4 linked regions of the Alligator mississippiensis genome follow. The protein of the gene in region 2 interacts with the protein of the main gene of each other region in a biochemical or structural test. Links are inferred from orthologs where the notes say so. Each region holds a gene or a part of one and is shown on either strand. Other genes may lie near its edges.

The links.
Region 1: the proteins of STUB1 (region 2) and UBE2N form a complex in vitro, tested with the Homo sapiens proteins (11 studies listed by BioGRID and IntAct). The link is inferred for Alligator mississippiensis from reciprocal best matches to the Homo sapiens genes STUB1 and UBE2N.
Region 3: the proteins of STUB1 (region 2) and SNCA form a complex in vitro, tested with the Homo sapiens proteins (2 studies listed by BioGRID, with this or other methods). The link is inferred for Alligator mississippiensis from reciprocal best matches to the Homo sapiens genes STUB1 and SNCA.
Region 4: of the proteins of STUB1 (region 2) and NQO1, one has a biochemical effect on the other in vitro, tested with the Homo sapiens proteins (2 studies listed by BioGRID). The link is inferred for Alligator mississippiensis from reciprocal best matches to the Homo sapiens genes STUB1 and NQO1.

What each region holds. Positions count from the first base shown.
Region 1 is NC_081827.1:87,986,149-87,993,156, reverse strand, and holds the start of UBE2N (ubiquitin-conjugating enzyme E2 N), read left to right. Parts: upstream 1-4,006; 5' UTR 4,007-4,060; coding exon 4,061-4,090; intron 4,091-7,008. UniProt on the Homo sapiens protein: The UBE2V1-UBE2N and UBE2V2-UBE2N heterodimers catalyze the synthesis of non-canonical 'Lys-63'-linked polyubiquitin chains. This type of polyubiquitination does not lead to protein degradation by the proteasome.
Region 2 is NC_081836.1:29,911,678-29,919,317, reverse strand, and holds the start of STUB1 (E3 ubiquitin-protein ligase CHIP), read left to right. Parts: upstream 1-4,635; 5' UTR 4,636-4,692; coding exon 4,693-4,908; intron 4,909-5,465; coding exon 5,466-5,664; intron 5,665-6,425; coding exon 6,426-6,591; intron 6,592-6,963; coding exon 6,964-7,054; intron 7,055-7,640. Other genes in the region: uncharacterized protein LOC106737444, read right to left, coding at 1-102, 1,067-1,219, 1,945-2,104, 3,941-4,148, 4,311-4,438. UniProt on the Homo sapiens protein: E3 ubiquitin-protein ligase which targets misfolded chaperone substrates towards proteasomal degradation.
Region 3 is NC_081825.1:152,570,543-152,578,309, reverse strand, and holds the start of SNCA (alpha-synuclein), read left to right. Parts: upstream 1-4,751; 5' UTR 4,752-4,931; intron 4,932-6,923; 5' UTR 6,924-6,948; coding exon 6,949-7,069; intron 7,070-7,767. UniProt on the Homo sapiens protein: Neuronal protein that plays several roles in synaptic activity such as regulation of synaptic vesicle trafficking and subsequent neurotransmitter release.
Region 4 is NC_081833.1:76,440,093-76,448,094, reverse strand, and holds the start of NQO1 (NAD(P)H dehydrogenase [quinone] 1), read left to right. Parts: upstream 1-4,987; 5' UTR 4,988-5,074; coding exon 5,075-5,081; intron 5,082-7,363; coding exon 7,364-7,528; intron 7,529-7,619; coding exon 7,620-7,750; intron 7,751-7,853; coding exon 7,854-7,967; intron 7,968-8,002. Other genes in the region: RNA-binding protein NOB1, read left to right, coding at 271-540. UniProt on the Homo sapiens protein: Flavin-containing quinone reductase that catalyzes two-electron reduction of quinones to hydroquinones using either NADH or NADPH as electron donors.

The sequences.
Region 1 (7,008 bases), on a different chromosome or scaffold from region 2:
TGCTGCGTTCCCCTGGGTCTGGGGTTTTTACCCCCCCTCCACCTTCTGAGCCTGGAAGATTATGGCTGTTGTAATCCCCCAGCCCCAGTGATATGTGGGACACCCATGCAGCTGGGAGCCCCTCAAATGAGAGCTTGCTTCTTGCTGCTGCAGGGAGAGCCTGGGATTGGGCTCCCCTTGCATTGGCAATAAGGCATGATGGGATCTAATGTGTGATGCCGCAATCATGCCACTTGCCATGCACACATTGAATACATTATGTTGCTAAAAAAATAAGTTTGTTCTACTTTTGTGATCAGGACTGAAATTGTAGTAATTAAGTTAAAAAAAAAAATCACCAAACATTTTAAGTGATGACTGTAAGAATAAACCATGTTAAAAAACATGCTTAAACAATGCTCAGTAAAGGATTTGAATTGAATGTTTCTCAATCAGCACAGGAAACAGAGGGCGAGTAACTCATAATGAACAGACCCTGACTCTGCAAATACTTGCACACAAAGACAAGCATGTACATATGAGTCGTCTAATTGAAATCAGTGAACTCAGCAGAATGCTGATTTGCATAAAGCTAAAAAAGGTGAATAAATGCTTTACATGACTTGGACCTTATTTAACAAATGGTGAGCTCATTTCATGAGTTAAGTCTATATACGTTGTTTTTTAAAATGTGTGTCACTTGAAAGAACCGGTGAAATCACTAATTAGTGAATCATATTGGACAGTAGCTCACAAGCAGTTGCAAGATTTCCATATTCAGAATTCAGATTGTTATGGCTGAACACACAAGTTGCATGTATTGTTTCCATTCCGTTTGGATCAAAAACAGTTAGAATCAGTCCTTTTCTGTGAATTTGCAAAGAACAGTTATGGGAGTCTCTCAAAGTGTGTTCTTTTGGTGAACATGCCTGCCAGTAAAATCACTTGAGGACAGTACAAGTAATTCATTTTCTAAAACTATAATATTTTTAAATGCTACATGAATTAAAACGTTTGTATTGTTTGTCTACTTTTATGGGAGACTGCAACAGAAGAGATACTGCTTTCCAATTAAGTAGAGAGCAACCTCTGCTATAGTTAGGGTTGTAAACATTTTCGATTTAAAGGTCAACTATTTAAGTGGGCTAAAATACACACCCTGCATTTAATCATCCAAACTGAGTTCATTTGAACAAAAGGTTCCTCAGATACAGTCCTTCCCTTCAAAATAGCATTTCTTCAAAATAATTCTACCACATTCTATTGCCCCCCAACTGTAGTGTTTGCTGGAAGTAGAATAGAAGGGACCAAAATGGGAAGGGGAACAGGAGAAAAGGTTGTAGCTGCAGCAAAGGATGGGGACATTATGGAAAGAGGGTAAAGAGGAATAGGTGACAAAGGAGAAGAGGGGCTGAGGAGGTTCAGGTCAGGAATGGGGGATGGATAGGGCAAGGGATATGATAGAGGGCATTCGGTTTGGTGGTAGAAAAAATGAGGGACAGCAACATTCAAGACCACATTCTCTCCTCCTACCTGTGTGCCCTGAAAGGAGAGGACTTTTCCCCTCTAGGGATGCCTGAGCCCCTCCTTGCCCTGACTGAGAACTGGGACAAGGGGGACCCTGAAGTGAACACAATTTTAAGCTTGTGAAAAGCAGAAAATATATGCCCTGTATGGGGTTTGGGGCTGGCTAGATCATAGAGGTAAAAGGGGTAACTTGGAGGGGGGACACACTGGGTGGGCCAGAGGCGTGGCTTAGGAGGCCTTGCTGAAGAAGGTCCAGACATGAGGATTAGCTTGACGTGTAGCTGTAACCAAAGACATGCTCAACCCTTCAGTAAGCTTCTGACTGTGGTATATGTACACAGCAGCAAAGGGTGCCAGATAGTAGGCCTGTGCGAAGTGGCTAGTATTCGCTTCGGATTCGGCTGATTTGGGGGACAGCGATTTGATCTGGTGATTCGAATCACTGTCCCGATTCAATTTGGCCAAATCTGGGTTGGAGATTCGGCAGCAGCTGAATCTCTGAATTAGCCAGGCCTGGCCCATTCCCCGCCCCTCTCCCAGCCCTGCAATGGCTGCCCCGCCTGCCCCAGCTCCCAGCACTTGTAAGGAGAAAAAAAAAAAGTCCAGACTCACCAGGTACTGCCAAGCAGGGGGCAATCCCTGCTGTCACACGCTATGTGGGGGGCTCTGCCACAAGCCCCGCAAAGCCCTGAGGCTGCTGCAGGAGCAGCGAGTCTTGGGGGCTTGTCTCTGTTTTTTTTTTTTCTTAAAGGGCTGGAGCTGGTCCGGGCGAGGCACCCACAGGGGTTTCTTTTTAAGTGATGATGGCTTGAATGCACCACTTTGCCTATACCTTCAGTATGTAATCACAGTCCCGTAGTTATTAGATTTTTTTCAGATTCATCCAACAAAATCTCACCTTCTTGAGCCCAGTAGCAGCCTTAGGGGAGGGCAAACTGGGCAACTGCTCAGGCCCCCACACTTTAGGGGGTCCAATTTTTTTTTTGGTGGGGGGGGGGAAGTTTTTGCAAGGAAGTGGCTCCATTTTAAACACTTGACTACTAATCTAATTCCCCCCAAAACATTAAAAAGATTCACAAGACAACTGTGGTGGGTTAATATTTACCTGAGTACATACCTCTAAGGGGCCTCAAATGACTCGCTTGCCCAGGACCCCAACAACTCTAAGGCCACTGCTGTTGAGCCTCTTGACAGTGCCTCCCATGCAGGGCTGAGCTAATGTTTGTAGTCAGAGTTGCACAGACTGTGGAGAGCTGTAAAACAGGAGCAGGGCTAGCAGAAGAACTCAGAGCAGAACTGCAAAAGAAAAAAATACCTCACAGTAGCTGAACATTACGATCATTAAAAAGGAGAGCACATCATTAACACCTGTGAGATTGAGAAGGAAACAGTTGGATTCCAATGAGACATAGCCAAGTGCTTCCCTCAGCAGGTGCTGGACTAGAAATACTGCTGCCCTTACCCAGCCCTTCATGGGATTATGGGAAAGCAGAGCTGGAAAGGACCTCAAGAGGTTACCTAGTCCAGCGCTTCCCAACTAGTGGCCGCAGCACAATGGCGTGCCATTACAAACGAACAGGGGTGCCGCTGAATTTTGCCTTGGTAATGGGTTACAACGAGATCATGAATAGGGGGATAGGGAACGCAAGGGAGACATTTTATTCGTGTAAATGTGTCTTGGCCTGGAAAAGGCTGAGAAACCCTAATCTGGTCCAGCCCCTTGCTCAAGGCAGGGCAGTCCCTGACTACACTTTTCCAGACGGCATCGGATGGAGTGAACTCGGGTTCACAAAAGCCAGCTTGCTCTCGCTCGCTCTGTTTATATGCGTATCTTCTTTATGCGTGTATAAAGGCATCTTCTAGCTGACGTTACACTACCACAGCTAGCCACTTCTCTAAAGACAAGCAGGGACGGAGCAGCAGAAGTCCACAGTACTGGGGCAGCGGGACCCACATGCCTTTCTCTTCTCGTGTGGTCGTCAGATGGCGCCCTGTCTGCGAAACGGGGATAAGGCTGCTCAGCCAGTACTCGGCACTCGGAGAGCCTTCAGTGCCCAGCTGAAACGAAGGGGCCGGCAGCCCCGGCTCAGCACTTCCGGGGTGGGGGCGAGGGCGGAGACCAGGCCCTATCTCTCCCGCCCACGAAGGGCGGTGGCAACAGGCCCGCACTCTTGCCCTTCCCCCCACAGCTCTACGCTTATTGGCTGCGCCAACGGCGCGAGGACCGCCCCCCCCTCGGGGCCTCGCCCCTCCCACGGGACACCGTGACTCTACAGCAAGGGCAGCGCGAGCCTGACAGCAGTGCACGTGGCTCCCCGCGTTCCTCCTCCCCGCCCCCTCAGCTGCACGTCACAGCCTGCAAGCCTGAGGCCGCGGGCCCCGCCTGCCGCACTACACCTCCTTTCCTGCACTACATTGCCCGGCGTGCCGCGCGGGGGGGGGCGGGTGAGGGGGCAGTGACGTTACCGGAAGCGGGTCGCGGGTGATTTCCGGTTGTGCGCGAGCCCCCGAGCGGAGCCGAGACCCAGCGGCGCCTGAATCCCGATCAGACAAGATGGCCGGCCTGCCCCGCAGGATCATCAAGGTACACCAGGCCCCCGCCCCCGGCTCCCGCTCCCAGCCCGGCCCGCGCGCGGCTTCCGGTGCCCGGCCCGGGCCCTTCCCCCCTCGCCGCCCGGGCCCGGGTGTGGGCGGGCGCGAGGGAGGCCCCATGCGGCGACGGTGGCGGCCGGGCCCGAGCGGGGCCTTGGCGCAGCCGCTTCCGCCGCGGCGGCGGGAATGAATGGGAGCAGCTGGACCGCGGCGCGGACGCCTCCTGCTGGCCGAGCCCGTGTCCCCGGCCCAGACCCCGACCCCTGCCCGGCCTGGCGGGCGCAGTTGTGACAGCGCCGGGAGCTGCGGAGCCCGAAGTGCCCCCGTCTGCCCCGTGTCCAGCGGCCGGGCTGTAGTGGGCCAAGAGCCGCGGCCTCGCTGCTGGGGGCGCCCACCCGATGACTCAGGGCTCGCTGACCCCCGCGCCCCCCCAGCAGGCAGGGGCCTGGCTGCGGGCCCGGGCCTTGCCCTGGCTTCACCTGTGAGAGGTCCTTTAAAAATAGAGACTGAGGAAGGGAGGAGTGTTTGCGACTGCATGGTGCGGCCTGCCCGATTCTGTTCCTCCTTGAATGCTGGCACCCAGGGGCAGTGCAGAGGCTGTGCTGGCCTGGGGGAGGTGGCTCTGAGGGAGCAGGAAGTGAGAGCCGGGTCAGACTGTTTCTGAAATGGAAAAGGGGGTAACAAGGTGGATGCTTTGCCTGCCAAGTGCTGGAGTCCTGGTTCTCAATCTTCTTGGGCTCAACCCCTGTCTCCCTTGTCCAGGCTTTGTTGGGAAGTGGCAGCTCTTCCTTTTCACTTGTTTTTAGACTGTGGAAACATCACAGAGCAATAATGTTAGTCTTGCAGAGAGCTCGGAAAGACCACCACAGGGCAGGATGTTGTTTGCACTGTGGGTTCCTGTTTGAAATCTCTGGGTGAATTGGGCTTGCACACCTCACAAGGCTGGAGCTCCAGGCACCCCAGGTTGCTTCAGCATCCTGGCTGAGATGCAAACAAAAGGTTCTCTGTTTTACTAATAAGATATAATGATGACAAGCTAAATATTGCGGGTGCCTTAAATCAAAGTTATTTCAGTATTTGTGTTCTTAGACATTGCTGTCTGTTTAAGACAGTGTTGATTTAGAGCTGTGTCATGTTGAGTTTTCAGCTCGTAATATGTTTTTGTGGCTACTGTAGGGGATCCAACCAAGTATTTTGTATTCATGGTATTTGAAATGATTTAATAGTAACATGGGTCCTTTGAAATCAGTTTAGTTTTAAGCTATAGTGGACCATAAACAAATAGGTTAGTTTTTATATTGACATCTACATCTTAAGGAAGAGATGTGAGTGAAATAACACAATGCATTTTTTTCCTTGAGGCAGCATAACATTAATCTGTGATCTTTATTGTGGATCTTTCCTTTTAGCATGGTGTAAATATTAGTCTCATTAGCTACAGCTTCAAGTTTTGAGAAGTGATGTGAATTCAAGCCCTCAAATTGGTGATGACTGGTTCTGTAAAAGTAGCTTTGTTCAAGTAAGGTCCATTAGTTCTGATTAGAGATAATAGCACCATTGTTTCTTGCTGAAGTGAATGAATATCTGGCGCGCAATTTATAATGTTGTGAAGCTGCTCTTGGTAGAACATGCTGAAAGTTGGCAACTATTACAAACATCAAGGCCCAGATTATGCAAAAAGTTGAAGTAAAAGGTATTATCAGATTGGCTGTAAACGAAAGTGAGTAAGGTAGTATAGTAAGAGGGAATAGGGAGGTACATCCCACTTAAACTGTGCAGAATTAATATTAAAGATGGTGAAGTTGATTACCAGTTGCTTAATGTTTACTATTGCTCTAGGGATTTTAAAGACAGAAGTTTTAATATAATTTGATAATGTCACTTAGCTAGCTATCTCAATGCAGTTTATCCAACACTAAAAATATTACAGTTGGTTAATAGCATGTGGTGGTTAATGTCCTGCAGTATACTAGACACTACTTATTCTGGAGGCCTGTTAAAACTGTATAGTGAAGCTGAATTTTCTGTTTGTTTTTTTTAAGGTGGCCTTGAGTATTATCTCTAACTTTCTAAAAATTAAAGGATCTATCTGCAGGGTTGCACACAGGTTTCCTTCCTGTGCTTCTGTATTTTTGTTTTTCTTCCTACTTTACAAAGTATATAGTAAATTGCACAATGCGTTTCTAAGATTGGTGAAGATGCCATTCCTCAAAGTTAAATTTGTTTTTAACCCTTTATAGCTTAAAATTAGCTTGAAATTCCAAAGCTGTCTTCTTGCAGAATGCTGTTGTGGAAGATGCTGATTATTATTATTTTTTTTAAGTATGTGCATCGGGCTAAGCGTGCAGTGCCATGTGTACATTATGTGTTTGAACTTTGATCATATAATGGATTGCAGTGGTCAGGGTTGTAATTATGCATGAATTGGAAAGTATCATATAGCCTATAGGTTGAATCTAGCTTAAGTGACTTGTATTGTGCAGAATCTAAGTTATCTTTTTAATATGTGAAATTTCTTAACTACTGTGTCTGAAGAGAACATACCAACTATAATTTGTTTGCTTGAGTCTGCAGACAGCCTGAAACAATAACTCTGTTAACTTCTCTATACCTTCTAGCTTTTGTGTTAATATTAATTATTCCATTGCTGATTTATTTTAGAAGGTGGACTAGCAGAACTGAAGCCCCTTGTGGTGGGAATTTGGAGATACAGGAAAGGAAATACAGAGAGGTGAGAGGGGGAGTAATGGCAAAAGGAGGAAGCAAAGGGGCAGAAATAATGGTGGCTTTGGGGAGAATATATTTTCTCACTGAGCGGTACTTAATGCGACAGTACATAAATAAATACATGGTTTCATTAGCATAAAACAATCCTTGATTTGTGTAAGCCATCCACTTATGTCTGTGGAA
Region 2 (7,640 bases):
AGCAAAGTGTCTGCAGCAGCGCAGGACACAATTTCTGTGCCACAGCCCAGGCCCAGAGACACATCTCCACCTGGTGAGGAGTCCAGTCTTTCTCTTTGTCAACTGGAAAAGATTGCAAATTGAGCCATTAAGCTCTATGGCTGCAACAGAACCAGATCTACCCACTCTCCAGGCCCCTGATGAGTTCCTGGGGAGACTTGTGGCCCAGAAAAGTGAGAGGTTGAGAGTACAGAATAAAACCACACACACATTCCCTCCGTGCAGCTCTGCAGGCCAGAATTACTCCCTCTTCCCAAGCAGCTCTGGAACGTACCTCCCTCCTGCTTCAAATGCCTGGTCACAGCAGATTGCAGGGAGGGAAAGATCAAAAGCTGTTGTTGCTACATGGTTGTGCATAGCAAAAACATGGGCTTGCAACACCCTTCTCCCCAGCTGCTGCTCCCAGCCCTGTTCTGAAGGGTAGGAAAGGCTTAAAAGGTAAAACCTCTCCCCTACACACAACACCTGGTGGTACAGGTAACTATGGAAGAAGCTACCATAGGTTCAAGCAAGAGATTCTGCAAGCTAGTGGAGCAGACACAAGGCAAGGTGAAGAGAGAGATCGCACAGCAGCTGGTGCTGATGAGCAGGGACCTACCGTGCCTGCAAGATGCATGTGTAAGAAACCAAGGAAATCTACTTGATACAACTGCAAGGCACTGCCTGTGTCTCAGTTACTGGACACAGAAACTTCAGGTCACAATTTGGCACTTAAATAAATTTTCACTGGAGGATCTCAATGGAGCGTGCGGTGGCAGGGGAGTGTTATCTTCATAGCATGGATAGGGAAGGTGGAGCAGAGACCAAGAGACTTGTCCAATGCCACAAAAGCAGCAACAGAGAAGAGGAGGAAACCTGACCCCCAGCTCTGGGTATGAACTACTTTGTCCAGTAGTGCAACAACAACCTTGCCATAAGCGCTGCAGTTCTACTGGCTTTTCAAGACAAGACCTTTAAAACAGAGATGCAGCAAATATCTTCCCCCTCCCTCCACAGGTCCTACTGCAGTGTGGCCCCCACCCCTCACCTTCATTTAGTTTCTTGGTACAAAGCTGGATCCTGTCCAGGTAGCAGATGTAATGCTTGAGGGAATACTTAATGGGGGTGAGGCCTGGGATGGACTCCACTGCTTCATCTGCCATGAAAGCCACAACCTCAGGGGCTCCTGCTGCCAGGATTGCTGAAATGGGAAGGTGGGGGAGTATGCAGCAGAGGAACTGGACAGGTTGGAGGGGGTGGGGGATAGCAGGAGATGCCAAATCCTTCATCACAGCAGATGTCCACTTTCTTAGGGCCTTGGGGCTGGCTCTTGGATGCCTGTCAGAGCCTGCCAGGGCAAGCTGGCACATCACAGAACCTGAAGCCAAGCCAAGAGGACTTGTGCACACCAACACTCCCAGGAGAGATGGGACTGGACCAGTGCAGGGTTCAAGGGGAGGCTTGCCCTTGGGCAGCTGGAATTACCTCTGCTTCCACAGATAGGTGTCTCTCCACCAGCTCATCACAGCAGGAAATACACCAAGCCAGTGACTCAACCATCCCAGCTGGCACCTTCTCGTGCAGGTTTGCATGCCCTCGACCTGTACTTTCTGCTGCCCTCAGTGCTAAGGACCTCTTCAAGGTTTTGGTTTTAACAGGCCACTAGCAACTAGTTTGGCTGCCTGCAAGACTAGGAAGAACCAGTGGCTTCCCCCTTGTCCACAGGGCTGGGATCTAGGGCCACCGCTGTTTCCCAGGAGCCATGAGTGTCAGCATCTTGCATCCCACTATGCAAGTAGCAGTGCATGGCTGTTTGGGTGAAAGTGCTGACCAACCCTGGCTGTTCTTTCACTTACAGTTTGGTCAATCCATGGCTCTACCCCCTTATCTCTTCCCCATCCCTCACTGAATTCCCTTAGTCCTTACCTGAAGCTGTGGCTGGTCCTATAGCCTTTAGCTGGCTCAGCTCAGTTATGGCAGCTGCCACATCTGGGAGGAGCTGAAAAGCTTTCCTTGTACAGCGCTCCACTGTCTCCTGGGAGTTAGTGGCCACCAGCTGCTGCAGACGAGGACGGAACTTTCCCCGCTAGAGGGGAGGAGAGAAGGCAGCAAGGTGAGCCCCCCTCAACTGAAGACTTAGCTGTGCAGGTGACTACAGCTCATTGCTTGTAACCCCAGGGGCTGAAAGGGGCAATACTCTTATTAGAGGGGATCCAACTCTGAGGCCATGAGTTCTTTGCCAACCCTTTGAAAAAAAAACAGAGCAATTCTTTCTTGGTATACATTTCTGTTCAACTGTAGTCCCCTGACTATGCTCTACATGCCCCCTGGGATCCACCACGCCCTAAAGATAAGACTCTGAGGTCAGAGAGAAGATAGCCCAAGAGGTCTTTGCCTAAAGCAATACTGTCCAACTCCCCTGGGCTTGTCCTAAAGCCACATCCAGACCACAGAGCTCCTCGTGGGCTAGATCCAGATCTACCTCTGGCAACAGGGGAAGTGGCAGTGGTGTGAACTGCTGTGGTTTCCTGGGTGTTTGTGTTGGCTCAAGGAGCCGAGAGGAATAACAGTCTTTGCTTGCCCTGCTGCCACTGAACTGGCAACAAGGCTCTGTGCCCTAGTATTCAGCAATGGGCCCAGCCCCCACTCACCCCAACCCCTCTAGGAGTCTTGTGGGCTGTGACAGGTCCGAGGGCCAGACCTGGTCTGCGGGCTGGGTCTTTGACACCCCTGTCCTAAGGAATAGGAAGTTGGGTAACCAATTTGGAAAATGCAAAGTGGTTTGAGGCTGAGCACAGTGTGCCTGGAGGAAAGTTTACTTGTTCACAACTCTCGTGTATCTTTTCCAGCTACTACGCCACCCCCTTACTCTGCATCTTCTCTGGGATTTTACCTTCCTTTCCTCGTTTTCCCAAGTAGACAACAGCCTTGCCTTCACGGCTCTATCCTATTACCACGACACTCCTATCTCAGTGCAGTTTCATCTACCTTCTCCTTTCTCCCAAATATTCTTAGTGACTAAGCCAGCCTGCTGCTTTCACCCTGCCCAGCTATAATTGGACCAACCGCTCCATTCCAGTGGATTCAGAGCCAATGAAAATAATTCAATTATAAGCTCACTGATGCAGATAATCTCTCTGTGCGCTCAAAGAGCTGTGGGCAGTACTAACGCTGTGTAAAAACAAATTAATAATAATTCCCCTGGAAATCCAATCACAGGCCTGTGGAGCTAGTGGGAGGAAACTGACCAAGCTGTGTGAAATGCAAAAGGTTAGGATTTATCTACACTCAAACTGGTTTGCTGCTATAACATGACTGGCATGGCTGGACTGCTAAATCCCCTACTGGAGATGCAGTCATTGGATCCTTTAAACTGTTGTGTTAGGACAGCTCACACCAGTTCCCCAAGTGGAACAGACTATCCCAGAAATACGCTGCTTTGCCATCGTGACTGTATCTGCATTCAGGCTTCAGTCGTGTAAGCTGGGCGATAACAAGGTGAGCTAAGGACAGAGCTCCATCATGCTCCTAACTAAATTTGTTCGGCTAGCAAAGGTGTTTACATGGAGACAGGATCAAAAAGAAACGTGACATTTCTAGAGATGAGGCTACTGACTCCTCAGGCCCGACTTACCACAGCCTGTCTGCAGCTGAATGCAACTTAGAGCAACCCCAAGGTTGTTGCAGGTTGAACCAGGGTCCAGACTGATTAATTGATTAACAAGCCGCAAAGATGACATAAAACTGCTTCTCTACCCCTGCCCTGGGCCAGAGGCTATGGCCGGCCCATGATTTCTGTCTCAACCTTAGAAAGGTAAGCACAACAGTTACCAATTTAAATAGCTGTCAGACAGCTGGCGCGCACGTGCTCCCGAGCGGAAGCAAACACTCAATACCCTGCAGACGTCGGATCTCCCAGCACCTGGAAGAGATGTCGCAGCCCGTGGGGGGCTGAGACCCCCGTCCCAGCCGTGCATCCACTCCCATTATAGGGCTGAGACGCTGCACGTGGCCATTCAGCTGGGAAGTGACTCACGGTGAGTTTCCACTGCATCAGCTTCACTACTTCGCCCTGGGTCAAATGCTTCTCTTTCCGTCCCGCGAGAGCAGCCGGCAACTCCTCCTGATACCTGAAACAGAGCCCAGAGCGGGCAGGACTCGCGCCGCCGCCTGCACCCGACCCCCTGCGGCCCCTCGTGTCACCGGGGCACCAGAGCCTGGGGCTCCGCACTGGCGACAGCTTCGGGCGGGACGAGCAGTTGCGCGGGCGCCGCCGCCGCCGCCGCATTTACCATTTCTCCAGCCCGGCGAGGCCTTTCCGCTCGCTCCCCTTGGCTTCGACCACCGCCCAGTGCAGGTCGCGCACTCGTCTCCAGCACGCGGGGTCTTGGCAGCCGTAGAGACCTCCCTTGGCCGCCATGTCTGTGAGGACCCCTCGCTCCCGCGGTCGCCCCCGCTCTCCACCAACGCTCCCAGCACGCGCCGTGCGATTCGCGCCAGCTTCCCAGTGTCCCCTGCGGCAGCCCCAGCCCCGCCCCTCACGTGACCCCTCCCGCAGGCCACGCCCCCGTCCCGGAAGTTCCGGCGGGCGGGGCGGGGCCGTGGCTGTGGCCGGCGCCGTCGGTGTCGCAGCCGCAGCGCAGCGCCAGGCCGGGCGGGCGGGCGCGCGCGGGGATGAAGGGCAAGGAGGAGAAGGAGGGCGGCGGCGGCGGCGGCGCGGGGCCGTGCGGGGCGGGGCCGCGGGGCGGGGGGCCGGGCGGCGCGGGCGCGGGGCCGGGCGGCGGCAGCCCCGAGAAGAGCCACAGCGCGCAGGAGCACAAGGAGCAGGGCAACCGCCTCTTCGTCGGCCGCAAGTACCCTGAGGCGGCCGCCTGCTACGGCCGCGCCATCGTGAGTGCGGGGCCGGGGGAAGAGAAGGGCCGGGCTAGGGGCGGTGCCGCCGCCGCGCGGCCTCTACCGGGCCCCGCCGCCCTCCAGCGCGCCTGGCTGGCAGGGCCCCGCGGGCCACGGCGGGCCGGGGGAGGCCCCTTAGCGCTGGTTCCTGCCCTGGCCCAGGAGCAGGCAGGAGGGCAGGGGCGGCCTAGAGCCGGGGGCGGAGTCCAGGGCTCAGGACCCGCGGAGCAGTTGCAAGACCCCCGAGCAAGTGGCCCAAAGCACGAGGTCTGTCCCTGTGATACTGTAGATGTTAACATAAGCAACACTGAGGAAAAGGAGGTTTTGTAAAGATGGTGCAACATACATATCTGCATAATGAGATCCAGTAACAAGCAAAGGTCAAAATAAGCTAAATATCAAGGCTGAGTGCAGCCTAGTAGACTGTATATAATGGCCCAGGAGAGTAGTGGAAAGTGGTCACACACCAGGAAGCCTCCCAGCCCCAGCGGTTAGGGAAGTCTGGGGGTGGTGTTGCCCTGGGTTGCCCCTAACGCACGCAGGTCTTCTTCCAGAACCGCAATCCCTTGGTAGCCGTGTATTACACCAACCGGGCCTTGTGCTACCTGAAGATGCAGCAGCACGATAAAGCCCTGGCAGACTGCAAGCATGCACTGGAGCTAGACAGCCAGTCTGTAAAGGCCCACTTCTTCCTGGGTCAGTGCCAGATGGAGATGGAGAACTATGATGAGGCCATCGCTAACCTGCAGAGGGGTGAGTGCCTGCCAGTCAACAGGCAGCTGGGCCTGACTCAAGGCATTGACAGTCTTCATAGTCTATTGACCTTCCCTGCTAACAGGAGTGCCCTGGCTGCTTTTAACTTACCGGCAGGGGGTGTGGCTGTTCTCTGTTCAAAGGTGCTAGGATGGAGGCCCTAGCTAAGCTGCAGGCAGGCCTCCCATCCTGAACGGGCACAAGTAGCGCCCACCTGCAAAACTACAGCCTGTGAATACAAAGTAGAAAAGGCTGGAGTTGAGCAGGGGACAGCTTGGAGTGACCGTACGTGCACAGCTTCTCCCTAGGCCGGGGGTGTTTGGAGCACCAGTTGAAAGCCTGTGGGAGTTCAGTGCCTCTGTGCTTGACCACACACCAGTCATGTGGCTGCGGGTGAGGCCCAAGGGGGAGTCAATTTCTTTGGCAGCTGCTTGGAATTCAGTCCCCAAGCAGTTTCTCTGCAGCTGGTATGGTGGGGTTCGGGTTGTAGCCTGCAGCTTCAAGTTTAATGAGCCCTCCCCATTTGCTGCTTTGTGCTACAGCAGCAGCATGACTTAGGGCAGTGCCACTCAGGAGCATATTAGCCACTTAAAGCTGTAGATGTCAACTTCCGTCTGCCCTGCATGTGTAGGTGCTGGCGTGGCCGGAGCAGAAAGAGTGAAACCATCATCTAGAGGCTGGTATTGCACTTCTCGTGATGAGCTGCACTGCCAAGTGGGTTTAGGAAGGCTTCTCTGCTGACCTCCACTTTGTCTCCTCAGCCCACAATCTTGCCAAGGAGCAGCGGCTGAATTTTGGGGATGACATTCCAAGTGCCCTGAGGATTGCCAAGAAGAAGCGCTGGAACAGCATTGAGGAGAAACGGATCAACCAGGAAAATGAGTTGCACTCCTATCTGACCAAACTTATCATGGCTGAGAAGGAGAGGTAATGTGGGTAGGAATCTCTTCCCCCTCAGCAGCTAGGAGGGATGGCCTGGAAGAATATCAGGCCTCTGCAAACAAGGGGAAGGAATTGGAGAGTCCTCTGAAGGATGAGGGCAGCCTGGCCTCATAGACTGACTTTGCTATCTGGGGTGTGAGGAAGGCAAAGGGGTTGAACACCTGCTGGCATCTGCTGTTGCCCTAAGTAGTCTGGTGCTGTTATAGATGGTGGAGTCCCTTTCTGAGAAAGTCAGAGGCTTTGTGCCAGGGACCTGTGTTAATTGGGAGGTGACCGCTCCTCCTTCTCCAGCATGGTGTTCCTGGTTGCTTGCCAAAGCTTGCTCTGTGCTGTAATATTCTTCTGCATCTGTCCTAGGGAGCTGGACGAATGCCGAAGGACACAGCAAGAGGAAAACATGGATGAGAACCGGGGCAGGGCTCAACTGGCCAACATTGAAGCCAAACATGTAAGGCATCTCCCTCTTTGTATATTTGGGACTCCCAGGGGGGTTGGACTGTTTCAGTGTGTTTTTGCTTGGGGAGAGCTGCAAACTTGGGGGGTGCTGCTTCCTTGGGCCACCCTAGCATGAAAGGTGGTAGCCAGACCTTTTTGAGGTGAGCATAGACCTATGGGTGACCTCTGGGTGGTTGAACCCATGGGGGCACCAAGAGATGCCACAGTAAAACCTTTGTGGGAATTCTGGAGCACAAAGGGGAAGTGGCTGTCACCATGTCCTGCTTTCCAGGCTGCTGTGCTGAGCGAGGATGACTGTTGGGAGCAGAGCTATAATCACAATTGCAACAGGTCAAGGAAACAAAGCAGGTTTCCCCTCACAGTGGCTGCTGTCTCCAGTGCTCAGTGTTTGTATAATGCAGGCTGCTTCTGAAGCTCTTTTTACACCAGGTGCCTGTCCAATACCAGCAGCTGCAGCCCATGTCAAAAATAGGTTGAATGGTATTGCATCCCCTATTTATATCCTGTGCCCTGTCCATGCTGTGCGATGCATCACTCAAGGTAGCTTGTCTGCTGTGTGGTGTCTGCTCAGGGCACAG
Region 3 (7,767 bases), on a different chromosome or scaffold from region 2:
CTGGCATTTCTGAGGAGCTACCCCACCACAGATAGCCCCACCAGGCCATCCTTCCCCAGCAAGGTGCAGGTTCAAGTCATACCCAGGACCAGGATTCTTCTGCCATCCCCATAGCTCCTGCCCTTATCTCCAAGGATGTTCTGAGCAGCAGCAACTCAGCTGGGTGGTGTTATTTTAGCTGCCAGCAGCAGAATGCCAGGGCAGCTTTGAGGGCCTGAGCTAAAATGGAGTCTGCTGAGCCCTGTCCTCCAATCGCATGGTCCTCACAGGGTCATGCAACCAATTCAGCAGAGCTAGCCTGCACCTGCCAGCTGCCCTGCTGCCATCAAGGCCCTTAAAGTGACAGGCACCAAAGGTGCTCTGTCACAGAGAGTTATGAATGTAGAGTCATTCACAGTTTGTGGGCAGAACCTGAGCACCGCCAGCCAAACTATGTTCTATAAATCAGGCATGGGGGTTGTTAGGTTAACAAAGGGTCAGGTACAAGGTGTGTGAGAATGATTAAAGCTAATGACTATGTAGGCCGGATCTTCAGCTGGAGTAAATAGGGTAGTTTCATTTATTGGTACAATTATGGAAGAACATTGAAAGGAAATAACCAAGTGTTTAGACAGAATATAGTAGGATGAGTCTGGTCAAACAGTTTTGGAAGGTAACGTAATGGATAGCCACTTGATTTGGTGAAAAAAAGATGGGCAGAAAGATAATAAACATGTCTGCTCTAAAACAGAGGCCTATGGTATGTCAGGGATACATTTCTTCCTTAGGGCTAAAACTAATTTGGCAACTGCTGGAAGAACATCATTTTGCCATGATGTAGGCAACATTTTCCATCATTCCTATAACAAGTATTTTGCATTTTGTTTGGTATTTTTTTTAGTATACTTTCTGCATATACAGACAGTTACCTCTTAATTTGTTCTTTACTCTTTGAGTCAATCATTTGCTTTTAACTCTGCTTGTTTTTAGTATCTGTAAAACTGGAAGTGGATGTGCTGTTGGGATGTTTTAGGTTAAAAAAAAGAACACTTTGACCTGTGGGGACTCTCTAGGGAGGCAGAGCAAGGGATTATAGGTTATCTGATCAAGAGCAACAGGAGTCCTAAGCTTTCATTGTTTAGTCCCTCTTGGACAACCAAAGCAAGTGCCTTTTAGCTACTGCATTTGTGCATTTATTATCCTGAAAGATATAGTCTTTGGGGGAAAAGCCACAATTCAAAGAGTGTGATTGGAATTGTTTCTATTAATAAATATGACAAACAAAATACTAATCTTTTGCGTTATAGTTAGAAAGCAGTCAGTCAGATAAGTCTATTGTTATGCTAAATCCTACCACTGCAATCTGTTGTAGCATGGGCACGTACAAATCCTCCAAGCTACGATAAGGCTCTCAATCTCTGGGGTTCTGCATAGTTGCAGGGGTGGATGCACAGAGAGTCAGGTTTGACATCTGATACAGAATCCAAACAAGAGTCAAGATTAAAATACAACTACTAATCCCACCATATTTCCTTTAATAAGTATAATAGAGACAACCCATTATTTTTATCTAGCATATCTCCATAGCTTCCTCTTCCCAGACCAGCTTGAAGAATAAGCTGCTTTTTATTCAGTTTCCATAACCTGTCTGTTCTCCACTGATCTGGAACCTTGCAAATTATCTCTGAGTGATTCTTTTGGGCACTGTGAAAAACTGCTGCCATTATACTAGAGGTGAGGTTTCTGAAATACTGTTGGACTAAAACAAACAAAAAACCCCTTTGCTTAGTCCTGGTATCATCTATGTATCAGTGTAATCATCATTTTCATTGATAGAATGGTTTGTGCAATGCTGCTAACACCTTGTCATTGCCATGATATGACATTGCCAAGTGATGTCATGAAATATAATGTTAATGGTTTTCAGGACACTTTTATTCTGAGTCTTAGATTGTGGGGTGTGCTGTGCAAATAAATTCTATATTCTTCAAATTTAGTCTTGTAAGATGCTGCTGTCCACTTGTGGAATCATTCCTTCTAAAAAGGGTCTTGGGGACTAGATTCCTGTTGACTATCTCCTGAGAGATGTGGGGCCCAATTTTTAAGGTATTTTAGCATCTCTGCCTGCAGATAGGGGTCCAGTGGGATTTTACAAAACACTTCCATGTTTAATTTGCACTTCTTTCAAGGAGTCCATGAGGGTATTTGCTAAATCTTGTATGATACTTTTGAGACGCATCTAAAATTGTCCAGAGGAATGTAAGATTGCCAAAACCTTTTTAGATTATAGAATAATTTTATATTTTTCCATTTTCACTTTTGACAGGGAAGAAAGAAAACTGTGTCCACATTTGTTACTGGTGTTTTTTCTAGCTTTAAACTAAATACAAGTAGCTGGGATTTGATCATGGGAAGTCTTGCTACCTTCGTTTTGCAATACAACAACAATAATCCCCACATATTGAAAATGTCCCTTTTCAATCTATGACAAATAAATTACAGCTATGTGCCTCTTCCAAGCTGGGGGAGGAAACAAAATCCCCTACCAGTCTTTCTCCCTTTTAAGCATGAATTTGCTCTGCATGGTGAAGGAGATGAAACGCCTTCTATGTACTGTAATTATTGTTTTACAAAAGGTCTTCTTGAGGGCAGAGTTATATAATAGAAGAAACTTATATTCTCAATCAGAGAAAAACAAACCACACTGGTAAACAATAGGCTGATTGAAGCTAGGAGTTGGATGAACTAAAGGGAAGTTTATCAGGCTATTTTGAGATACTGGAGCTCATAAGTAATCTCAGAAAGGCCAAAACTCTTGATTCCCATGTTCAGAGTGGGAGAAAAGCCTGTGTTTGTCAAGAAGACTGGAACAGGTGCTCAGCATTAAGATCTGTGTTGGAAGATGGATGAAAGGAAAAGTGGAAACGTGAAGTCCAACTCCCTGCCTATCCTCTGCCTTCAACCTACTGTCTTCATGCCCCTTGCTTCAGTCTTGCAAAGTGGGATAAAATAAAGGAAAAGGAAGAAGGCTGGAATACTACAGTCCTGCAGTTTGGGGACTCTTACATGCAAATTATAACATCAAAATACAGTACAAGACCGATGACAACTCACACTGCATTCCAAAAAATGGTCCCAAATATACCCTAGCTAAGTGCATCAGGCTCTGGATGTTTTTGTATAATAAGAATGATCAGACTTTTTCTCTAGTCCTGAGAGGGTGTCCTGAGGTGTTGAATGGCTCTAGTAGGAACCAGGAGCCAGGTCTAGGTTTTTATAGCGCTTACACTTCAGGGTGCAGTTCTTTTCCTCCAATAGAAACAACTGAATGAGGTAACATGTTCAAAAGTGACAAAGTGACCATTTTAACAACAAAATTAGGCTTTTGGGAACATACATCTCACAGAAAGTCAGTGACACATGGGTTTCTAGGTCCTTTGGAAACAGATAAAGGCATTCAAGGAACTGAAAGAGGCAGATGGGTGCAAGAGACGTTTTTGAAGCATCCTGGCTTCCAGGGGAAGGATCTAGACGCTCTGAAAATCCCACCTGGCATCTACCAGCATCTTAAATGCAGGGTTTGAATTACGGGGGAGCTCAGGGGGGCTGAGCCTGCCCATAAGAGACAAGAGCCCCCCTGTTGTAAGATTTGCAAATCATAACCTGGGGGGTCTCTCATTTTATTAGGGCATCCTGATGGGCAGCCCAACATTTTTTTTCTGATTTCCCCCCTCCCAAGTATCAAAGTGTAATTTGAACACTGGTTAAATACCATTGGAAATTTAGCCCTTCTGCTCTCAAGAAGATGTCACCCCATCTCTTTGCCGCTTGTCAGTTTGGGTGCTGGGAGCCAGTAATGAGAAGGATCCAGTTTTTCCCCCAGGGTCTGTTGCCTGGCCTGGATGATGGGAAGGTGTGCTGACTGAAAGGAAACGTCTCCCTGGCCATGGCTTCCTTCTCCTGGGCATCCAATGTTCTTTTTGTTGGTGGATGGAAGGTGGGGGCAGAATGGGCTGATGGCTGGCACTTGCTGAAGCTCCTGGAAACACCCAAGGGAGACAGCGTTGTTGGTTGTAGCCGTGTTGGTCTAAGGACATAGGCAGGCAAGGCTCCTCAGGTAGATGTGGTATATTTTATTAGACGTGATGCCTTTTATTAGACCAACTAAATAACTAAATATGTGATATCTGAAGCTCCTGGAAACACTCAAGGGAGACAGGGCTGTTGGTTGTAGCTGTGTTGGCTTAAGAATATAGGCAGGTAAGGCTCTTTGGGTAGATGTGCTATGTTTTATGAGATGTGATACCTTTTATTAGATGGACTAGATAACTAAAGATTTAGTGGGTCTAATAAAAGATATCACATCTATCCAAAGAGCCTTGCCTGCCAAGAGAGATGGGTTCTTTGGGTAAATCTGATGTCTTCTATTAGACCAACTCGAATAGTTGGAAAAATTCCTCTTCGCAAGCCTTTGGGTACAAATACTAATAAATAAATAAATAAATGTAAATAAGGGAGACTCATCTTTTTTCTTGCCCTCCCCAGTCAGTCTCCATGTGCTCTGCTCTTGGCAATGAATCCCCTGGCCAAGGGACCCCCAGAGGAGGCGGTGCCCAAGCCTCAGAGGCAGGAGTGCCTCATCCCGGGGGCGATGGGGGGAGAAGTGCCCAGGCACATGGGAGGGGAGGCCTGCCTCCATCTTCCCCCTGCGACGAATCAGACGGATTGGGCGGGGAAGGCGATGGGGAGGGGGCAGGAGGCGGAGGGGCAGCGTCGCTGCCTGCCCGCTCTCTCCGCCTCCCGCCCGCACCCGCACCCGCTGCCTGCCGGGCTGGGACCGGGCGGGGGCAGCTCCCCGCGACTCTCCCGCCGGCTCCGGCTCCGCCATGTGCTGAGGCAGGGGCCGCTCCTCGGGTCCCCCGCGCCGCCGCTGCAGCTCCCCGGGCCCCGCGGTGAGTGCCTGCAGCTGCTCGTTCTCGTGACGGTGCTTCTCGCAGTGGGGATTTGGGTCCTGTCCTGGCTGCGCCTGGCGGGAGCGGGGCACGGCCCCGGGGCTGCGTGTGCGGAGAGGCGGCTCCGCCCGGCTGCTGCCCCGACCCCCCCGGGCTGCCTCCGCCTCGCGGGTCGCTTCATCCCGGGGAGGATGAGAGAGAGAGTGTGTGTGTACCTGATCCCAGGCTACATGTGCGCTGGGCGGGATGAGCCTGAGCCTGGCTTCAGCTGCTGCTGCTTCGTGCCCTGGAAATGCCACAGCTTTCTGTAGGGAGGCACTGGGCAAACTTTCCTTCTGTCTCTCTCTTTTTTAAATAAAATTTTGGTCTAGCCCCGTCCCCTCCGGCAGGTCAGCACACTGCCGAACTGCCCAGCCGGGGGAGGGATGGGAGGCTGCGTCCATTGTGGTGAGTGAATGCTCTGTTAACAGGTGCCCCAGCCTGCCTTCCTCTCCTGTGTGTGTGTGTGTGTGAGCTGTGTGTGTGTTGTGGGGGGTTGATTCCGCAAGGCTCAGTGTGTGTATGTGCATGTGTGAATGTATGTTTGCGTGTTTGGGGGGTGCAGTGTGATTTCCCAGGGCTCAGAGTGTGTATGTGTGTGCATGCATGTGTGCATGTGTCTGTGTGATTCTCCAGGGCACAGCATCATTCAGGAGAGGGCAGCTCCTGGAGAAGGTCCTGGGACATTTCCCTCACTAGTGTCAAGCCTGGTTGGAAGCTGCCTCCCCACAATGGATCCCAGAGAGCCTCGCTAGTAGTAGCTAGACAGATCTTACATCTCAGTGATTGAAACGGCTTCATTGCCTCTCCTAGGAAGACTGGCAGCTGTTAGAAAAGGTTTTAATGAGACACCAATAGCACTTCTAATTTTTAAAACCCTTGGTAGGGGTGGCTGCAGCCCAGATGTTTCCTTAGACACCCATTCCTCCTTCTCAGCATCACAAGGGAAAGGGAGAGGAGAGGCACCCCTAAGCTTTTGCTCTACATATGGGTGGAGAAAGAAGTGATCACCAATCTAGTTAATTTGTTAAAGGGACACTGTCATTTTTTAAGTGACTTATATGTAGCTCCTGACCTTACCTTGGCTCCTGTTTCCCACCTGCCAGTTTGGGAGTTTTACAGTGACGTCTTTCTACTTTTACTCCATGTTTTGTTCCCCCTGCTGCTGTATGAAGGACCACTTAAAATCACAGGGGAAACTAATTCTATAGGAGAAAGAAGCAAACAGAAAGAAATGCTGTCAAATCCGAAAAAGCAGACCTTCCCTCTCCCCTCCCCCTCCAAATCCTTTCAAGTATAATAGGGGTTTCTTATAACAATAGTAATTAAACACTTTTGCACAGAAGTCTGCTTTTTTTGACAGTGTTTCTTTAAGGGAGTCTGTGGCTCTGAGTGAGGAGATAGAAAATATCATCTCATCTTAGAGCTGAATCCTTCCTTCTTACAGGAAAAAACCCCGTCTCATTTCCTTTAAAGGAAATTTTATTTCAGAAAAGAGAAGATCTGGAAAAGATCTGTTAAATCAGCTAATCCACCCCCCATTCTTCACCCTCACCAGAACTGAATCAGTTCCTATAGCACATTGCAGCCTCTTCATTTTTAAGGCTCCTTTGCAATTAGCTAGGTCTGTTCTACTTGGGTTGTGAGAGTACTGCAGAAACAAGATGTATGTCTGTAATGCTGGTTAACTTGTTATGTATGACAGCGTTTGAGAAAATAGAAAATATCAAGGCCATTGAGAGGAGTGCATGTATTTTTGGACCACTTTTCTTCTGTATGAAATACTGAACATGGGTGTGTGAAGAAAGTCAAATGTATACAGATGATATTTGTGATGTTCAGAAAAATCTAATCTTTCAATAAAAACGGTTCTAGTCACAGCTGGAACAAAAGTCTTCCTGTCAGAAAAAAGAGCACTTGATTCAAAATGTTTGTCTTGTTCTCTTTCTCCAGTACTGTCTAAAGAAATTGTTTAACCATGGATGTATTCATGAAAGGGCTTTCCAAGGCTAAGGAGGGAGTCGTGGCAGCAGCAGAAAAAACCAAACAGGGTGTGGCAGAAGCAGCAGGAAAGACGAAAGAGGGCGTTCTCTATATGGGTAGGTGGGCAAGATAAAACCAACTGCTATTACTGTGTTGGCTTTTGTGTGTGGTATGAATGACTGATTGAAAGACCAGGAGCCAGACTGTTGGGAATGACCTTGGTATAAATGTGGAGTAACTCAATAACAGAGTTGCTGCACTGTAAATGAGATTTGACTTGAGCCCTGAATTTTGAAGGTAAACCTCTGTAAAGCTGGATAATGACTCTTGCTAGATCTTTTGGTGTTTCATCGCACCATCAGAGTCATCCTTTATTATGGCACAGTACCATAAGCATATAGGCTATAAGCTGGCCTGTAAGCATACAGTAGGTGGTCTGTGCACATATGGCCATGTATAATAGGAGATACGTCAAAAATTGTGCATGCTGTTCAAACTGCCTGCCAATTTCAGGGCAAAGGGGCTGGTTATAAAGAGTGGCAGGCAGTTTTACAATTGAAATGCTATCGAACATGAGGATTTCAAGAATATGCTTTTTCTTTTTTCCCCCCATCTAAAATGAAAAGGAATGGAAGATGACATCAGGGCTAGAAGAGAAGCTATTGAGTTGTTTTTCATTATTTTAAATAAGTATTCCTGACATTTTTATACAAATACTGGAAACTCTCATTACCTCACCGAGCTTGACTGAGTTTCCTGTAATGGATTTTTAATACACCTCACGCCCATAGCATCTTCCTTTCGTGGATCACAA
Region 4 (8,002 bases), on a different chromosome or scaffold from region 2:
TAGACATGGCAGCTTGTTCCAGCGCTTGCTGCCACCTCTCCCCATTTCTGATCCGAGTCCTGCTTCAATTTGGAACTGCTGAACCTACGTCTACTAGGCAACAAAGTCTCTCACATCTTTGGCCTTGGGCTCCTCCCCTGCATAGACTTGGCTCCCTGGGCCTTGGGCCATGTGTGCTGGGAGTTCATTGGGAAGCAGTTGGCCTGAGTCTGGAGCAGACTCTGCCTAACTGCTGTGCTCTCACTCTGATCGCTCTTGTTGTCCCTGCAGTACCCCCTGCCCGCTCCCCAAGGGGGGAAGCACGCCAGCAACCCTCACCTGGTGGAGGACCAGCAGTTCCCGCAGCAGCGGCTTTCCCGAAAAGCCAGGGAGAAAACCAACGTCTTCGACCCTGACTACATCGCGGGGGTTTCTCCCTTTGCAGAAAACGACATCTACAGCCGTGCAGCCAACCTGCGCATCCGGGATGCGGCCCTGGGTGCAGGCCGGCGCCGCATGAATCCCAACACCGCTACGAGGAAGTTCGTGAAGAAGCGGTGAAGGGAGAGGAAGAGCCGTCTGCTTGGGTCAGCTGAGCAATAAGTCACATTTTCATGCCTGATGCGCATGCGAGAGCGAGGCTTCTCGCTGGGTCCCCCTGTGCAGACCCCGAGCTGGTGGCACTGGGAAGGCCCCGGTGCCACTGCTTTCCATGCTCACCCGGGTGCATAGAGCATCAGGCCTCTTTTGACGTGAGGCATCTATCGAACTGGATCTGGCTGTATATTTTTGCTTGCTTCTAGCTGCGTGGCAGCAGTGGACACTTCAGTGCTTTTAATAAATAAGGTCATGGCAGTCCGTGGCTGTTTCGCTTGCAGTTGAGAGAGTTCTGTGGTTAATTCTTATGCTCTAAGACGGCATGTGGAGAAAGAGCATCTGTGTCCTGAGGCACTGCAGCCTACCAGTGCTGCAAAGGCAGCTGCTGCTCAGCTGACTGCTGCATGCGGGCTCTTGTGCTTGGCTTGTACCTCTTGCTGTGGTTCCCCCTGTTCCTGTTTATAAGATGCAGGATGCCCTCCCGTTGGGGTGCAAAGGTGTCCAGCCCAGTGCTGGAATTAGTGGACACATGCACAGCTGAATTTGCTGCAGTTTGAGCTGTTTTCTTGTAGTCCCAGATGTATCTCCCATCCTGCTGGTGCACAGCACCCCAGTGGCAGGAGCATGCTGCATGCAAATCTAATGGACAAGGGACTCTGCACACGGCAGGGACACGCCTGCCCAGCCCGAGGATGGCGTGTAGTGCGGGAAGGGCCCACACCTGGGCAGAGGCAGGTGCAGCATTGCAGTAGCCCTCCCCTTTGATTTGCCTGCCGGAGCAACACTGTCAGGCTGTAACCAGGAGCTGGATACAGAGGCAAATACTTGTCCTTTGTTTCCACTTGACAAAGTGCTGATATTATAGCAGGAGCAAATACTTTGCTTTAGCTTGGAGCAATGTACAGTGTCCTGTAAGACAGGGAGCAGCTGCAGCCCCAGGGCCTGGCCAGTACCATGCTTTCTCTATCGAGCTATTTCTTACCTGTCCGCTGGCTTGGCTGCAGAGGGAAACGAAGAGCAAGTCTCTCCTCCTGGCCTAGGCTGGGTACGAGGTTGGCGCACAGAGGCAGAGCAGCAGTGGCTAGAAAGCATGGAAAGGAATGGTTAACAAAGATGCCGTTTAGAGAGCGCTGTGGACAGAAGCAAGGCTTTCCGCGTATCAGTGCCCTGGCCTGCAAGCAAAGCTAAGCCAACGTTCAGGCACAAAAGGGCTTGGCAACTGGGTGACCAGTTGGGATTGAGTGCTCCAACTGGGAGCAAGGCAGCTATTAATGGGAAAGCCCTTTGTGCAGGTCCCCAAGTGCCCTGGTTCTTTGAGAAGAGCTCCAGGCCAGAGACAGGCTGGAGAGGACTGATCCCTCCTTTAGGACCTTTCTAGGGCTGGATCATCACTTCCAGGTGAGGTGCTGCTCACTGCTGGGCTTTGTGGCTTGTTACTGAGTGGAAAAAAGCATCTCCAGAGTTTTCAAAACCCCCTTTTCCTGCCTGCCTTTCTCCGCTCCATCAGCCTTCCTGGAGCTAACCCAGCTGTGACCGTTCAGTGAGAATAACTTGGCTCCACACTCCTTTCTCTGTCAGTTTTGATGGCGTTTGCTCTGCTCTGACAAAAAGCAGCACGGTTGCAACCCCAATGCCCAGGGCGGGACAGCTCTTGGGTTCCTCTCAAATGCAGAAACTGCCCCTCTCGGCAGACAGCTGTGCATCGCTGTCTTCGGGACTGCGCTCAAACTTGCGCACTTTCAGCAAGACCTTTGCTCGTGCTTTTTGAAGAGGGCAGTTCCCTGCCGAGGGGGAAAGCGGAGCTGTGGGGCAGAGTGGAGTTTGCCCGTCATGCTTTGTTGGCGTGATGCCCGAGGAGTGCTGCTAAAGCTAGGCCGTGCCAGGACCCAGCAGCATGTCAGGGCGGCGTTTGTGGAGCCAGGGGCGGCTTGCATTGCTGAACTTTATCGTCCACGGCCCGCCCAGGGCAGCGAGCTGTAAATCATTCCTTGGCGTTGTTTCCCTTCCCTTAGGCCACACGCTGTTTTTCCCTTACTGCGTTTTAGTGCATGGGTCTGAGCTGGTGCTTGGAGGAAATCTGCACTCCTGGTTTCAGGCGCTGGGGAAAGGCAGCGACCTCTCTCCTGTCACATTGGTGGCACAGTGCTGCCTTGCTGGGAGCTGAGAGCCCATTTCCTTGGGGGCCAACTGAGGAGGAGGAGGAGAGGGATCGGGCTGAGCAGGGCTCTGGGACCTCCAGCCGGCGAGTGAAGCTTGCACGTGGCTGTGAGCATTTGTGTGCACACTCGCCTGGTGCTTAATTAGCTTGTTTATGCTGCCTGTGGCTGGACTAAGGACCATGGGAATGGGGGGGGGGACTCCAGGGGCCCCCTCTTGTTTCTCTAATTATTACTCTAGATACCAACCACAGTCAACAAAGTGTTTCCAGGGCCCCACTGTGACTGGGCAGCAGCATCCCGACCTGCCGTACGGTCAGGTACAGGCCCCAGCCCCCCGTGTCGCTCGTTCAGAGGCTGGGGTCAGCAAGGCCAGTCTGCAAAGCAATAGGGCAGCACCCCAGGCCAGAGGAGCCCGGCCGCAGGTCATGGACCTGCTCCCCTTCAGTTCTTAGTGTGGGAGCATGGTCTGGCCTACACCCGCTGACTGGGGCAGCAGGTCCTAGGCGTCGCTGTGTCCCTGGCCTGCACCCTGGGTCTGGCCTTTTTGAGCTGGCCCTTACGAGCTGCTTAGTTCAGCTCTCTAGCGAACAGGGTGCTAAATGCGGAGAGTGAAAAGGTAACTAATTCACCTCTGGTGCATTTCTAAGCAGCCCAGTACCCTCCCGAGGTACAAACTGAGCTACGCAAGGCGCCAGAACAGAGGTGGCAGGTTCCTCTCTGCAAGGGGCATTTCAGGATTGCAGCCAGACCCCGCAGCTCAAATATTCAAAGTCCCTTTTTGCTTCCGAGTGCCGGCTTCGAAGTCAGGTGCAGTCACGGAGACCTGCAGGCTCGTCGGCGCAGATGAACGTCTGGAGCCAGGCTCTGAAATGGGCATACAGTTAGCTTTGGAAAGGTCTTGGGCAGGAAAAGAAGTGGCAGGGTCTGCTACGCTCTCCCCTGGGCCAGGCAGCGATCGGCAAGGTGCACCCTCCCAGGCATGCGCAGCACCCAGTCAACCTGGGAGGACTACAGCAATAGCAGCGACTGAGGCCCGCACAGTCTCCCTGCTCAAGCTCTCCCATTGCCATAACAATAGAAAAGGCTGCTGTTCTTGCACGTAACGTGCGTGCCGGTCTGGACCCCCCTGCCTGTCGACACCTTTGAAAACCATGACCTCTACCGTGACTTAGCTCTGCAGGTGCGCGGGACTCACGCAATGCTGTTCTCCACCCACAGCCGCAGAGCAAGATCTTTTGTTTGAGTTCATTACTGTTTGATAGCGCCGCGCCCAATTTAATTCAGGTGGAGCGCTGCAAACACGATATGGTCTGGGGGCAGGTTTTGCTCAGCTGAGTCACCCAGCGCGACGGGCCAGCAGCCAGCTCGGCGTTACGAAAGGCCTAGGAGGAGAGGCCCGGGGACCTGGTGTGAGGGGGGTCTCGGGCATTTTTGGTCATGTACCTGTAGCAGGTTTATCTTTTCGGTAGCCCCTTTCTAGGTCTGCCGTCCAGCTGCGTATCCTCACGGCTCCACGGTGCAGAAGCAGCACTTCTGCATCGCTCCTGCCCTGTGCCCCCATCAGCTGCTCTTCGTGAGGTTAGGTAGACCGGGATTGCAGGGAACCTCCACTTGTGGCTTAAAGATAGAAAACAGAGCAAATACAAATGGTTAGTTTTGGGGATGAAAAGAAGCAAGCAGTGGGTCCCCCAGGTCTGTTGGGGCCGGTGCCGTGTAACGTGTTCATAAATGATCTGGAAAAGGAGGTGGCCAAGTCTGCCAATGACGCCAAATGATTCAAAATTGGTAAGAGCACGGTGGGTGGGCCTCGGGGCACCGAGCCAAGGGGCAGCTCAATGGCAATTTAACATAGGTCCACCTGGCTGTGACCTCTGCTTGGATGGGCTCGACGCGAGCTGTTCCCATATGGGGAGCAGAGCTAGGGGTCCTTGGGGCAGTCCCCTAAAAACAGCGGTCCAAAAGGCAAACGGGAGGACGAAGGGAGACGTGCCCCTCGGTGCCTCCACATCTGGATAACTCTGGTCCCCGCGGCTCAGCCAGGAGCGCGAGGAGGGCAGAGGGGAGCAGGGGGCTTCCCTAGGACACGGAGGAGGCAGACAGGAGAGGCTGCAAAAAGGGGAGGGTTACGAAACGCAAAGGGGAGAAGGGAAAGTCACTGGGGAGTTGTCTCCCTGGCTCTCGCCGGGCGCCGCAGGGACCCAGGAGGCTGCTGCGAGGCGGCAGGACCCCGCGGGCAGCTGGGTGGGGCTGAGCACTGAGGCATCGCCTCCCGGAGCCGGCTCCGCCCTTGGGGAAGTGTCTCTGCAAGCTGGGACCGGCCCGGCTGCCTCCGACCCGCCATGGCTGGTAAGAGACGGGGGACAGGGGCAGGGGCTGTGCTGTGCCCCAGCCCGGGCTGGACCGGGGCTCCCAGCAGCGCAGCCCCTGGGCCCCTCTGCCCATGGAGGAGAGGGGCAGGGGGCAAGGGGCAATGCCCTGCCCCAGGGCTGCCTGCACCTGAAGTGCGGAGCGGAGGGGAGAGAAGGGGAAGGGGAGACTCCTTCTTCCAGGGCGCCCCGGGGAGCTCCTGCACGCACAGCGGCACCGTCGCGGGGGTTTGGGCAGACAGGGTTCCTGGGGGAAATGCGACGTCTTCTTTTTTAAACCAGCTCAGTAGCTGGAGAAATGGGTGTAAGCGCTCAAAGTTACACCAGCCCAGGGCAGGAGTCACCAAGGGGTGCAAATGTGCTGCCCGCAGGGAAGTCCCAGGACCTCCACCCCCCTCCGCGGGGCAGCGGGGTGACAAGCCGGTCGTGGCACCTCACAGCGCTGGCTCCAAGCCCGGCCTTTCGTGGCGGGTCACGGCTGTGCGGGGGGACAGCCCGAGGTTTGTAGACTCGGGGTGCAACCGCTCCAGACACCGAGCCAGCACGAGTGTTGATCCACACTCGTGCAGCTCACAAGGCCTCTGCTCCCTGCCCCCGTGCGACGCCGGACGTGGTCTGACCCCTCCGTGGCAGCTCGGATGCTCTCGTGGAGGCCGGAGGCTCCGGGCTTGGGCAACGCCGGCTCGGCCTCCTCCTCCTGCCGGTCTCGCTCCAGCTCCCAATGCCCCAGCTTTTCCCGTTGGTGCTTCGCCTGCCCCGTGGACGGCCCTTGCTGCCTTCCCTCACGCTGCTCCTCCGCACAGCCCTCCTCAGCCCTGGGAAACACGGCGTCCCGAGGGCTCCTCCTTTGCACCCTGATCTTGGTGGGGGTGCGTAACCCCCCGACAGGTGCCAACCTCTACGGCCGTGCCTGGGCCTTGGTCTTCTTGCTGTGCGGAGAGCGGGGACCCTCGCGGGGCCGCCCTGGCCGCAGCTGGCTCCTCAGCCCAGGTCTGCGTCCACAGGCAATTCCTTTTGGTTGCTCCCCGTAAGGCCCTCCGCTCGTCTACCCCCTTCGCTCCCTCCCTCCTTCCCCCCGAATTGCCCAGGTGACTCCTCCGCTCGCCTGCCGCCCCCCCCGCCCCTTCCCCTCACAGCACGGATGTGCCAAGGTGCTCCCACGTGAAGATCCCAGCCGTGGCCCTGGGTGCATCGCCTGCGACTGCCTCCTCTCCCTTTTCATCTCGTGGTTTGATGAAGGCCGCGCTGCGGCATGGTTTCCTCTTGATCCCGGTCTCTGTCCCTTATGTCCACTGAAGCCGCTCTCGTTGGCAGCTCAGACCTGGCCCCCCACCCTCATCCCCCTGGACTCGGCGGCTGCCTTTGACGCCATCGACCGTACCCCTCTTCGTGCCTTCTTGCCCTCCTTCCCCGTCCGCGACGCCGTCTCCTGCTTTACCCCTGAGCGCTGCAATTGCCCCTGCAGCACGTGGGCTGTTTGCAGAGCATCCTCTTGCAGCGCTGCAGGGCCCGTCCTTGATCCGCTCCTGCCTCCTCCGGCACGTTGGCTCGAGTCGTCTCGGGGCGGTGAGCCGTGCTAGCCTGGAGCCAGGCAGGGCAAGGGGGCGCCTTGGAAGTTAAGTAGAGGCGCGAGCTTCTGTACGCAAAGCCCAACTGGTCCGACGCCAGGCACGGACACCAGTTAATCCCCAAGTACAAATCCAATTCCTGCCTCTGCCCGTGACTTGCTGCCTCCCTTCCTCAGACCTGCCTCAGCCGGTCCAGACTAAGAATTCAGCATGGGTTTCAGCTCAGTGAGGCTAAAAACGCTCATCTTTCCTCCTTCCTGCCACCTTGCTCGATCGCTGGGCACACCGACTCCATCCGGCCTGTCCCCGATGGCCTGGACCTCCCTCTGGGCCCGCTCCTTCCGTGTAACGTTCCCGAGACGCTGCTCGAATTCTTGTCGTGAGCCTCAGGGCACCGGGGTCCGAGACGGCTCGGTCCTTCGCTGCTTGCTTGCGTGTTCGGGACGGGAGACGAGCTGAGCGAAGCCCTGCACTTTAGGCAGCCAGACTTTTATGGGGCATCCCCCTCCAATCCTTTCGCCTGCATTTCAGGCACGCAGACTGAGATCCTATCAAGATCCCATCTGCCGGGGTGGCAGGGAGAGGGGGCACGTACTCTGCGTTGCCCACGTCTCGGGAATCGGGAAACTCGGTGTTTTGGGGCGCCTTTCCCTCCGGTGAAGGAAGCGCTCCAGCTTCTCGCTCTCTCTTCCAGCAAAAAAAGCCCTGATCGTGCTGGCGCACGCGGAGAAGACCTCCTTCAACCACGCCATGAAGGATGCTGCTGTCGACGCACTGCAGAAGAAAGGCTGGAGCGTCGCCGTGTCTGACCTGTACGCCATGAAGTTCAACCCGGTGCAGTCCCGGGAAGACATCACCGGTACTGAGCAGCGCTGTTCCCCCGAAAGCACAGAGCTCCTTGGCACCGGTCCCCAGCACCGACCTCTGTCCTGTTTTGCCTCCTCTCTCAGGTAAGCCGAAGGATCCCAACAACTTCAACTACGCGGTGGAGATGGGCTTGGCGTGGAAGGAGGGCCGGCTGAGCAGCGACATCGTGGCAGAACAGAAGAAGCTGGAGGCTGCGGACCTCGTGATATTCCAGGTACCTCCTTCCTCGCCAAGGGAGCAACCGCGGATGGAAAGAAAAGCAGGACTCATCTCCTGACCTCCTTCTGCAATCTCTCCGTCTCTCCCTTCCTCCTAAGTTCCCGCTCCAGTGGTTTGGGGTGCCAGCCATCCTCAAGGGCTGGTTTGACCGGGTTTTCACAGGAGGCTTTGCCTACTCCTATGCCAGCATGTACGACCAGGGCCCCTTCCAGGTAGGCTGCGCTGGGGACGGGTACTCGCTTTGCTT